Nothobranchius furzeri: one gene and its partners. Each later gene encodes a partner of the first gene's protein in a complex. Links are inferred from orthologs where the notes say so. Each region holds a gene or a part of one and is shown in the gene's direction. Other genes may lie near its edges.

Region 1 (3,753 bases):
GAGAGAGAAAATGAATAGGGAAGCGGGAAATCAGTGGATCACGGAAATGTGGAATAAGTGCAAAGAGCAGAACAAGGAGAGGGTGGTGAAGGTCCCACCAAAGCCTGAACAGGTGACTTTTCAGCTGCTTTTTAAAGGAGACCACTGAGTCCACTGATCTCAGGCTCAGGGGGAGAGAGGTCCACAGTCTGGGGGCCACACCAGCAAATGATCTGTCACCTTTGACCTTTAGCCTGGTGCTGCACAACCAGTTGGCTTTGATCACTGGACCTCAGGGACCTGCTGGGGGTGTAGGGACTAAGAAGATCACCAATGTAAGATGGTGCTTGTCCATGTAAGGCTCTATAGACCAGAACCAGGATCTTGAAATGAACCCTGAAGTTGACTGGCAGCCAGTGAAGCTGGAGGAGAAGCGGGGTGATGTGGGTGCGTTTGGAGGACTTGGTCAGAAGCCGAGCACAGGCGTTCTGAACCACCTGTAGACGGTTCAGGGAGGTTCTGCTCAGACACGTGAAAAGAGAGTTACAGTAGTCTAAGTGTGTCTCTCTAAGTCTCTAATGCAGTAAAATAAGGCAAACATAGATGTCAAGGAAGCAATTCACCTGAAAATCCTAAAAACCAGCAGCTGTCGTTGATTAGGTAACTGTTTGCTTTGCATGTTTATAAAATCTCAAACAAAAGTACTTTCATCTGAGCATAAGACAACCCGGCTAGTCGTTTAAAAACTGTCATCTGTTTATGCTAGCACAGACATTATACATTAAAACTAAGTCTTAACGTACAGAAATGATCTAAAAAGCAGTAAATCAACATGAAATTAGTTAGCTAACCTACCTCGTTCAAGGAAAGATGCGCTACCAACTTGGAAGGGAGGTGAAGAAAGCAGTTTTTTGTGTTGTTAAAAACGACACGAACGGCTTGAATTCCCTGGTTGCTAAACATAATTTTCGCATTGCTAGCTAGCTTAGCATACACCAGGCAGAGAGAGCAATTGGATTTATCGATGTGCTCTGTGGACGATGGACTCCTCACCAGGCAAAAGTAGTTGATCTTTTGCTTTCAAAATAAAAGAGTATTCTAACAGGCAGCGCGACGGTATTCACTGAACTGTAAGCATTTATTTTGAAAGTGTTAAACCGGAAGCGCAGACGCATTCACTGAACTAAAAGCGTTTATTTTGAAAGTGTTAAACCGGAAGTGCAGACGCATTCACTGAACTAAAAGCATTTATTTTGAAAGTGTTAAACCGGAAGCGCAGACGCATTCACTGAACTAAAAGCGTTTATTTTGAAAGTGTTAAACCGGAAGTGCAGACGCATTCACTGAACTAAAAGCATTTATTTTGAAAGTGTTAAACCGGAACAGCATTTAGAATAAGCATGGCGGTCCCTGTAAACAACAGCTCCGGTTGTTGGAAAGTTCCTGACGTTCACAAACATCACGAACAGCAGAAAGTTTGCATTTCTCGACCAAAGTATCGAGAAGGAAGAAGAGCTAAAGCGGTTAAGGTGAGACAATCTTAGAAGTTATTAATTTCAGCTAAAATGTTCATAAATTCTGTAAAGAAGACACACAAGATTTGCTTTAGCTTAATTGGTAACATCATTCTAATACTGCACTGAACGCAGGAAATGTAACTTTAGTCTTGTGAATTTCCAGGTGTACACCATTAACCTAGAGTCCCGTTTCCTGATGGTACTGGGAGTCCCAGCTATCGGTGTGATGACGGAGCTGGTCCAGCTGTGTGCCCTGTATGGTGTTGTGGAGGAGTACAGACCTCTGGACGAGTATCCGGCTGAGGAGTTTACAGAAGTCTACCTCATCAAGTTCCAGAAGCTAACCAGCGCCAGGTACGATTTATTCGCTCCTCATACTTTACTGGAAATACCTGCTTAATCGTTATCGAATGTTTCTGTTTCAGAGCAGCCAAACGCAACATGGATGAGAAAAGCTTCTACGGCGGTGTGCTGCATGTGTGTTACGTCCCAGAGTATGAGACTGTAGAAGACACCAGGCTAAAGCTACAGGACCGGAGGGGTTATGTTATGAGAGCAGCTCGGAGCAGAGGTATCGTTTAACATCATGTTTGATTTAGTTCTGACCTTTAAATGTTGCTTTTCAATGCTTTAAAACAAATCTTCTCTTACAAAGCAAAAGCGGCGCACAGCGAAGGCTCCGCATCATCGACGACTGCATCAGACATAAACGTCAGACACGATCAAACCTCTAAAAAAGAATGTGCAGAGGATGCTTCAAACCACAGCCAACATGCAGAATTCCCTCCTCTCCCATTACCTCCATGGGAGCAGCATCCCTTTGGACATAACAGTCCACATGGGATCAGCGCACAGGAGGACAAAATGGGAACTTTACATGATGCCATCATAAACTTGAAACAGCCCCAAGTGGAAAAGTTAAGCGTTAACCAAGCCTCAGAGAGAGACCACGACACAGAACACAGACTGACCTCAGATCAGGCTTCAGCATTCAGGTTTCTCCCAAGGTCCTCGCACTTGGAGATCAGGAAACGCAGAATGGAAGAGGCTCCCGAGCAGTCGGCAAGTGTTTCTGGAGGAACCGAGACCCTGATTGGACCGAAATTACCAGAACCACCTAAACTGGACATGAATGATGACTCGTTGAACACAACTGCCAGCCTGATCAGGAACACAATGAAACAGGTCATTGTTGATTCAGTACTTTAATAATTTCATAAAAAGTAAATCAGCCTTAATGAAGGATTAAAACATGTGAATCTTTTTTTTTTTTTTTTCAGGTGGGATCTGCTCCGGGTTTCAAAGCTGTTGAGAAAAAGACAAAACCACGTCGTCGGATATGATCTGGACAGGTGTCTAGATGGGAGTCTTGGAAGAAAACCGACGCTCCCACTGCTTCGGAAAACTGTTTATCTCATCGGCTGTTGTATGCTATGATACCAACCTGTATAAAAAAGGTTAAAAAAAACAGCTATTATGTAAAGAGTGCACAAATTTACATTTAGAAAGCTAAAGAAATACTAATACTGTGTTTCCTATGTGCATGTTGCCGTGGCGCGCCACTACGGAAAAATAAAAGCTGCCACACCTTCAGAAGTAAACAAAAAAAAAACTTCAAACAACGTACCTTCAGAAACATTTTTTTTGGATATACATTAAAACAATAACGAGACATATATAGTCTATATTTGTGCATGTGTACTAACCATAGTCACAGTTTAAAATAAATTTTATTGCAACAAAACTTTAAACTGCAGTTCAAAAAGATCTACCGACCGCTAAATTAGCGAGGGCGCACCGGTGTGGTGAAGTCACCTGAGGACAAAACAGGTGATGCGCTTCGCTCCGCAGCAGCAAAACGCATCGGGCACAAATAAAAGACAGGAAGCATAAAAAGGACACGAGTCGACATAAACAATCGTGTGTTATACGTGGAGACACTGAGAATGTTACTGTCGCCATGCTCAGGACACCGCTCTGGTGCGCGCCAACCATCAGGAGGTGAGCGAAGGAGAGACAAGTGGAGAGGCAGAACAAGGACCAGCATGCATAAGTGAGCATGATGAGGGAGAGAGCAGCAGGGAAGCGGTAAGAGGGAAGAAAAAAGTCAGCACAGAGAATCTGGCTGGGACCCAAAATGGACAGAAATCAAGTTCCGCCCATGGCTGTAATCAAGGTGGGAATCAAGCAATACAAATTATTTCAAGGTAAATATATTTTTACATTTTTTTTATTTAATTGTAATTAAACAATAAGC
Region 2 (3,654 bases), on another chromosome or scaffold:
TAATCAACAATTCACTTTAAAAACATTATCTAGTTGTTTTGGCACCTTGTATCCCAGTGTGTGCTTTTTGGTGGGCGGTGAGATGCCGAGCAGCCAGAAGATAGCGACGCTGACACAGGTCACCGTACCGGACACCGCGTAGACCCACAGCAGGTGAGTCCCATACACTGAGAAGCCCGGGACAAACACCGCGGGGATGACCGTGGCCATGAACACCGAGGCGGTGATAATCGCGTGAGTAGACGCCATAGCTTTAATTTCATGGTCCCACATGATGAAGACGTGAACTATTTACAACAAGAACCCGATAACGATGCGGGGAAGTCAAATAAAACACCTAAAAAACGTAAGGTAACATTGGGAAACTGTCAGGTCTATGTATTTCTTTTCCGCGTTTCCGTAAACACGAAGACGTAAGAACGTCCGCTTAATTTCACAGTAAAAGTCTACTGCGCACAGACATCTTAGGTGAATGATGAAAAAACATCCGTTTCGAAACATATTATCATAGATTATCGGGTCAGTTTATTTCAATTTCAAGTGAAAAAGGTGTATGTTTTACTTGTTACTCAATCTCTGCTAATGAATACGCTTGGGTTAAATAAGGTAAAAGTGCTTGACTTTATCAAACATTTATTTTGAAGAACCTATAAGCAAATAAACGGGAAGTAGTAAGTTATAGTTCGCGTTGCGTAACTCAATTGTTTTAACCAATCACAGAAGATGTTACTCGTTAAAGCAACCAATGAAACCTGTCATTTGAAATGCCTCAGCTGACCGGACGTTTACATTAGCAAAGCAAGCTAAAGCTAACAAACGATCATTTCTACTGCGTCATTCGACACACCGCAAAGATGGTCTGTGAAAAGTGTATGTATGTCATTTGCTTCTGATTTTCAGACGTATTGTTCATTTTAAAATCTGATGAACGTTACTTTTGTCAGCGAAAGTCTCAAATGCAAACTAGAAGGCCAATAGTTTAGTTCTTATTGTATTTTCCTCCATAATTGTTTTGTTTTATATTTTAGGCGAGAAGAAACTGGGAAAAGTAATTACCCCCGACACTTGGAAGGACGGAGCACGGAATACAACAGGTGACCCGAGGAATGCGTAGTGAAATGTTTTTTTGCCATCAGTATGATAAATTGCTGTTTGTTAATTATTCTAGATATGAGACTTGTTGTCTTGTTTACAAGTTACTTTTGAAAATGTAATCATTGTTTCTATATTTTTTCACGTTACTAGCAGGTTTAGTCCTCATTTGGTTGATCACGCCATAATATAAATTAATTGGTGTTTATTTTTTTTATATTAGTATAGGTATAGTAACATTTAGATGTCCGTGTTTAACAAGTTTGTCTTCTTTCTTTGTGTCAGAGAGTGGAGGACGTAAGCTAAATGAGAACAAGATTTTGACATCCAAAAAAGCCAGGTGAGTAAAAACAATTTATAGAAAAAAATAAACTTTAATTACAACAATCTAATGAATGTAAATACAAATATGAGAAGTCAGAGAAAATATTCTAAACGCATTAATATACTTATCTTAAAATTACCTTCTTGAAATTGAACCAAAAACTGTTATTTTACTAAAGTTCAACCTTATCATATAAAACTTTCTCACCACCATATTTGCTTGGGCATACATTTTGCTGCATTGGCACAAATCACCACATGAATCATCATTAATCATCTGTCCTTAGTATTTTACTTTATGAACCACGTTTAAATCCTGATCTTCTTCATTTCTTGCAATCATAACAGTTGATTTTTACATCATAGCTGGAACACACTCTTAAGTAACTGTTGCAAACCTGCTCTGAAGAGTAAAAGACCATCAAATCTTCAGCAGTCATGAGATGATTGGTCATTATTTCCCCATTCATCCACTCTTATGCTCTCTTAGTTAAATAAAACTTAGATCGTCCATATACAAGTTAAAGGGAATAGGTGACAATATCTGGTGAACCTTATTAGTAACAGAAAAGGAGTAGCTCTCATTTGGTTTTTAGTCTGATTGTAAGATTTGTATAGAATATGAGGTGACACCTTGTTCTTAAATCTTCCTAAAAAGCCCATCATAATGAACTCTTATCTGAACTATTCCTCAGAAGAAGTCACACAACGGTTTAGCTACTGTTTTTCAATGTTGTATATTACTAATTCAAAGTGGTCAGCTGATATAACTGGTCATGTGTGTAACAATTATTTTCATCAGGTTTGACCCTTACAGCAAGACTGGCTTCGCAATCTGCAGGATCTGCAAAAGCTCAGTTCATCAGGCTGGATCTCACTACTGCCAGGGCTGCGCTTACAAGAAAGGTATGAAGTGATTGTGCTGAAGATTTAGTTTTGTGTCACAAAAACGCTACAGCATTTCTATTAGCCCTTTTACATAAAACACACACACACATGCTCTCTATTCAACACCCTGCTGAGTTTTTCACATGTAATCATGTCACCAACAACATTATCCTTTTCCTCTGAGACAAATCCATCTGCATCCTATAGGAAAACGTGACAGTAACTGGGACGAGTTGTGAAACTGCAATGTTTGTCTGTTGTTGAACAATTCAACTTGTGACTTTTCTGCTCAGATGTTTTCATTTTTCAGTGTGTCTTAGTGTCAGAATCCGGAGAAAATTACAGCCTCACATCAACAGAGACTGTACTTGCATAATCTAGAGCCATTCTCGATAGGTTTGTTTGAATACAGTGTGTTTGTACTGTATTTAGGCTGAATGATGAAATGTAAACAGGGCTTTATCTAAAAAGGCATATCTTGATGAACATTGAAGCAAACTGTCTTAGTTGCAGGAAATGAAAGAGTGGAGTGGCCATGTTTCAGATGGTTCATCAAACATGGAAGATGCTCAGTGAAACAAATCATCTTTATAGTTTGCTGAAGTTTTCTTTTTTATTATAATGATTTCAAGGCCTACGTGTCCCATTGAACCTGCTGCCTTTGGTATGTCTTCATGATGATGCCTAGGTAGACTCACAATTAGGAATAGGGCTGCACGATATTAGAAAAACCTGCGATATTCGATAACAGTGTTTAATATTGCGATATCGATATTACTCACGATAAATGAACAAATACTAAAGTATGCAGTGTTGATGTCGTCTGGCGTGTGACGTCTGCTCTGGGTTCAAAGCAAACAAAACTAATGCATGAATTCCATTACAACATAACATTTTTATTGCAAAAATATGCAGCTGCACCTGCTACTGTATTAGTAGCAAAACAATAAACTGCATGCATGCAGTTTCTCAGTGACTTTAAAACATCACCTCCACCATAAAACTTTTTCTGATGCTCCAAATGCAGAAAAACATCCCTTACCAGGGTTTTTGAATAAATAAAAAAATATCAGAAAATAAGTTTAAATGTTAAATAATAGTTAACATCACTTAAATGGAACAGCAAATTCTCTCATTGCTACTGAGCATTTTCTCCACTTATGTGGTTATGATATAAGGCTGTTGCTGCTATTGGGAAGTGAACTGTGCTGGGCCAAACTAGGAGAATATTAAGATTTTCTGAGGGAAAGAGAAAAACAATTGTCTACCTTTCAGAAGAGGAACTGGCAAAAAACTACATGGAAAATATGTGAAAACGTTTGTTTTTAACCCCAAATTGAACAAGTTTAC
Region 3 (3,653 bases), on another chromosome or scaffold:
ATAGTTTATCAGAAAAAAAGTTGATTTGGAGGTGACGTGATCTTTAAATTAACTTGGTTACAATAAATGCATCTAAAACTGAATGTTTTGGTTTTAGGTTTAAAGCAAAAACAAAGAAGAATGGATGATTCTCCACCTGCTAATGCAAAAGCACGAGCTTCTGATGGGTCTGACTCTGGTAAGTCAAATCCTCGGCCTAATGAAGCTCAGATCGTACTTCGTTTATACAGCAAGTCTCCATAAAATAGGTGCCATCACCCGAGGGTCATTACTGATCCAGATTAGCTAATCGCTTAGACTAAATTATTCCAGGTGTTTTTTAAAATGTTTTCCTCTTCCACAAAAATAACAGCTTAAAGTCCTGCTCAACGATTTTTTTAAGAATGCTTCCTTTTGTAAACTTTCCTTCCGTTACATTTAAACACAGCATAACGGGTCTTATTGGTAAGACAGAAGCATTGGTTGTCACTTTTACATGATGCTTTTGTAGAGTGGTACGAACACTGATCAGACAACCGATGCTTTGCTTTTCAGAGGAGGACAAAAATGAAAAAGGGGCAACAGCCGACTCGGTGCAGCAGAGACGTCAGTATCGCAGGCAGAATCAGCAATCTTCTTCAGGTCTGTGTCCAGCCTCGTTCGTCCTAACCCTAGATTTTGGTGTTTTTCCTTTACTGCATACAGTAAAAGGCCATTAAAAAGTTTTTATTTGTTTCATGTGGTTTCAGATTCAGGATCTTCATCATCAGAGGATGAGGGACCTAAGAGGTCAGCTACAGGGCCAGGAGCCAGAAACGGTGAAGTGAGGAGGAGGCGTAGCCGCACACCATCACCTCGTAGGCGGCATCGGGACGCCTCCCCAAGGTCAGACGCTTATCTCCTCAGTATCTGGATGATCTGACGTCTGTTAAGGTTTTATGTTTCCATTTGTTCTTGAACAAATGTTTTTATTTGTTATTATTCCTTCAGAAGAAGACGTTCTCCATCTCCTGGACGTAGACGTCGCTCTCCATCTCCCCCACGCCGCCGCAGATCTCCCTCTCCTAGACGCAGGCTAGTAACAATGATCTTTTTATATGGATTTACTGGGTAGGATTAAAAAAACTTTCATTAGTATTGATTTTCAACAATTTTTCTTTTTTTCTTTCCAGGTCTCCTTCACCGCCACCACGTCGTAGATCTATGTCCCCCAGACGTTACTCTCCTCCCATCCAGCGCCGCTACAGCCCCTCACCTTTGCCTCCAGCAAAGAGGAAGTTGTCTAGCTCACCCCTGAGACGCTCCTCTCCAGGTTCCAAGCGACGTTTCTCTAGGTCTCCTAAACGCAGAAGCTCTCCTGGTCCTAGACGGCGCTCTCCTCCTTCGTCCACATCTCCACCCCGTCACAAAAGGAGCCCCATGCCAGCCAGGCCAGGCAGGGACACACGATCCCCTGTTGCGTCTGCCAGACGCCTGTCCCCCTCACCTGCAAACCGCAGTCGGGCTGTCAGACGATCCACGAGTCCCCAGGGACGCTTTGCTTCTTCTAGTACATCTCCATCTAACCAGAGGCGACAGCCGTCCCCTTCACGCAGCAGCAAGCTCATTCGCAGGGTGTCCCGCACTCCAGAACCACACAGGAAGAGGTAAACGAGATGCAAGGAATGGTTCGACGCAATCCGTAAGTCTTTTGAAAGTTTTCTTTACACAACTTTTATTGCTTTAACAGAACTTCACCAAGTCCTAAGCAAATGAGGAGAGCATCATCCAGATCGAGGTCAGTCTCCCCCCTGCCAGCTCCGCAGAAAGGTCCAGCTCCTGCTTCCGCCTCCCCATCTCCTTCTCGCTCAGTCAGTGGGTCTCCCCCACCTCCTCCAGTCAAAAAACCCAGTAGTGCTTCAGGCAGCCCGTCTCCAAGCAAGGTTCGAATTTACTCTTAAATATGACACAACATTCTTTTTTGAAAACAAACAGTTTAAAAGTGTTTTTAAATAATGTTTGTTTTCAGATATCAGATGTTGAAGGTGGCGGAAAGAAAAAGAAGAAGAAGAAGGAAAAGAAACACAAGAAGGAGAAGAAACACAAAAAACACAAGAAACACAAGAAGGAGAAAAGCAGCGGGGGTGCTGTTCCGGGAGACGTAGCGGAGAATCGCGGTGCGGAGGAGGATGGAGAATCAAGAAAGGTAACGTTTGTTCTGTTGTTTTAGTTCATCTCTTCATCGTTTCGGTGGGACCACATGTTAAACACCAACATCGAATCCGTGTGTATTCAGGCAGCTAAACTTTAGTTAAAGGTCTGACATTCTTTTTATTCAGGACTCAGACAGTGACGCCGACGACGGCTTGGACGATCTGGAAAAACATCTTCGAGAGAAGGCCCTGCGCTCGATGAGGAAGGCCCAGATGTCTCCATCACAAATGTCATGAGAACAAGAAAGTTCTGAGTTTTCCTATTTTGATGTTTCTCATCAACTTGGTTCAGCTTTAGAATGTACAAATTGTCGATTCTTGTTTTTTTTTTTAATTGGTTTGGTACATTCTGGAGAGTTTTTCCTTCACTTGATTTGTGGGATAGATTATTATCTAAACTGTAAAGAAACTTGTGTTAATATTTTGAATTTGTTAAGCAAGAAGAACGTTACATTTCAGAGGTTTGAGTAGGGCAGGTTAATGGTATATTTGTCTGTGTACAGTAGATTCCATAGAGAAATGATAGCACGTGCATTGTCTCCGATGTGCATGAACCATTGACTGGTGAGAACGCCATCAAGTAATCTGCTGTTACTAACGCCTTTTACTAGTGGAAACCAAGTCACTACTGTGAGTCCGTCAAGGCTGTAACAAAACGTCCGGTTTTAGAGATGGGCATCATTTAACCTGCTTTTTTCTCCAACTTTGAAATTGTCTTGTTTGAAGATTAAATCTATCTTAAGGATGAAACATGTTTTAATTTTTTTCTAAACTGATTGATATGCAATTTTTGTTAAAAACCCCTGTATTGAGCTAATTTCTGTGGGACTGCTATAGTGTATGGTTTGTATTTAGTAACCTGGTTCCTGTCACGTCATCCTTTCAGAATTAAAACTTTTTTAGGATCCGTGTTTAAATTTTGTATTCATGTGGTTGTTTGTCTACCAATGGTGAATTGGTTAGCATGCAGTTGCTGATATTTTCACGTGAAGGTGCTTGATGATCATAGAATTCCAGAAACTCCGTAAACAGCTTGTGGGTTCACCTCTTCCGCGTTTGCCGGCGCATGGCCCAGCTGCAAGACACGAAGGGAGTGTGAGGCGTCTCTATGAAAAACAAATACATATATAGTTTAAGAACAACAAATGTATTATTTTGATCATTCTGAACTAATTTTCATGCTGGGGTTGTGACAGGCGCTAGTCCGCTATGAGCTGTATGCGAACTCCGACAAGTCTACGCCGGTGTTTAAATGGTGCGAACCTTTTAAAAGTACGAGTCACTAGATTAGACCCGAGGGTAAATTAGACATTGATGTGTCTACGGGGTAAAGTTAAAAGTCCCGGATTCTCATATTAGGCGTCTTTAAATGTCTGAAGTTGTTTCAACAACCAGGAAAAATCGATGTCATTCCTAAAAACTTAGGAGCCGCCATGTGGCTCTGTGAGATCCGCTACTAGAATATTCCCTCAATCCCTCCCC

Evidence for each region.
Region 2: rbm48 (region 1) and cript share a complex: the UniProt entries of both Homo sapiens proteins name them as parts of the minor spliceosome. The link is inferred for Nothobranchius furzeri from reciprocal best matches to the Homo sapiens genes RBM48 and CRIPT.
Region 3: rbm48 (region 1) and srrm1 share a complex: the UniProt entries of both Homo sapiens proteins name them as parts of the minor spliceosome. The link is inferred for Nothobranchius furzeri from reciprocal best matches to the Homo sapiens genes RBM48 and SRRM1.

Annotation. Positions count from the first base shown.
Region 1 is NC_091759.1:22,195,846-22,199,598, forward strand, and holds the start of rbm48 (RNA-binding protein 48), read left to right. Parts: upstream 1-1,364; 5' UTR 1,365-1,379; coding exon 1,380-1,508; intron 1,509-1,659; coding exon 1,660-1,850; intron 1,851-1,921; coding exon 1,922-2,067; intron 2,068-2,151; coding exon 2,152-2,681; intron 2,682-2,776; coding exon 2,777-2,839; 3' UTR 2,840-3,753. Other genes in the region: peroxisomal ATPase PEX1, read right to left, coding at 835-942. UniProt on the Homo sapiens protein: As a component of the minor spliceosome, involved in the splicing of U12-type introns in pre-mRNAs.
Region 2 is NC_091756.1:43,772,448-43,776,101, reverse strand, and holds the start of cript (cysteine-rich PDZ-binding protein), read left to right. Parts: upstream 1-713; 5' UTR 714-854; coding exon 855-870; intron 871-1,028; coding exon 1,029-1,094; intron 1,095-1,377; coding exon 1,378-1,432; intron 1,433-2,218; coding exon 2,219-2,322; intron 2,323-3,654. Other genes in the region: pigf (phosphatidylinositol-glycan biosynthesis class F protein), read right to left, coding at 46-273. UniProt on the Homo sapiens protein: As a component of the minor spliceosome, involved in the splicing of U12-type introns in pre-mRNAs. Involved in the cytoskeletal anchoring of DLG4 in excitatory synapses.
Region 3 is NC_091758.1:35,720,199-35,723,851, reverse strand, and holds the end of srrm1 (serine/arginine repetitive matrix protein 1), read left to right. Parts: intron 1-97; coding exon 98-178; intron 179-534; coding exon 535-621; intron 622-728; coding exon 729-864; intron 865-969; coding exon 970-1,053; intron 1,054-1,151; coding exon 1,152-1,625; intron 1,626-1,708; coding exon 1,709-1,901; intron 1,902-1,987; coding exon 1,988-2,164; intron 2,165-2,275; coding exon of another isoform or gene 2,276-2,281; exon of another isoform or gene 2,282-2,297; coding exon 2,298-2,408; 3' UTR 2,409-3,088; downstream 3,089-3,653. UniProt on the Homo sapiens protein: Part of pre- and post-splicing multiprotein mRNP complexes. As a component of the minor spliceosome, involved in the splicing of U12-type introns in pre-mRNAs. Involved in numerous pre-mRNA processing events.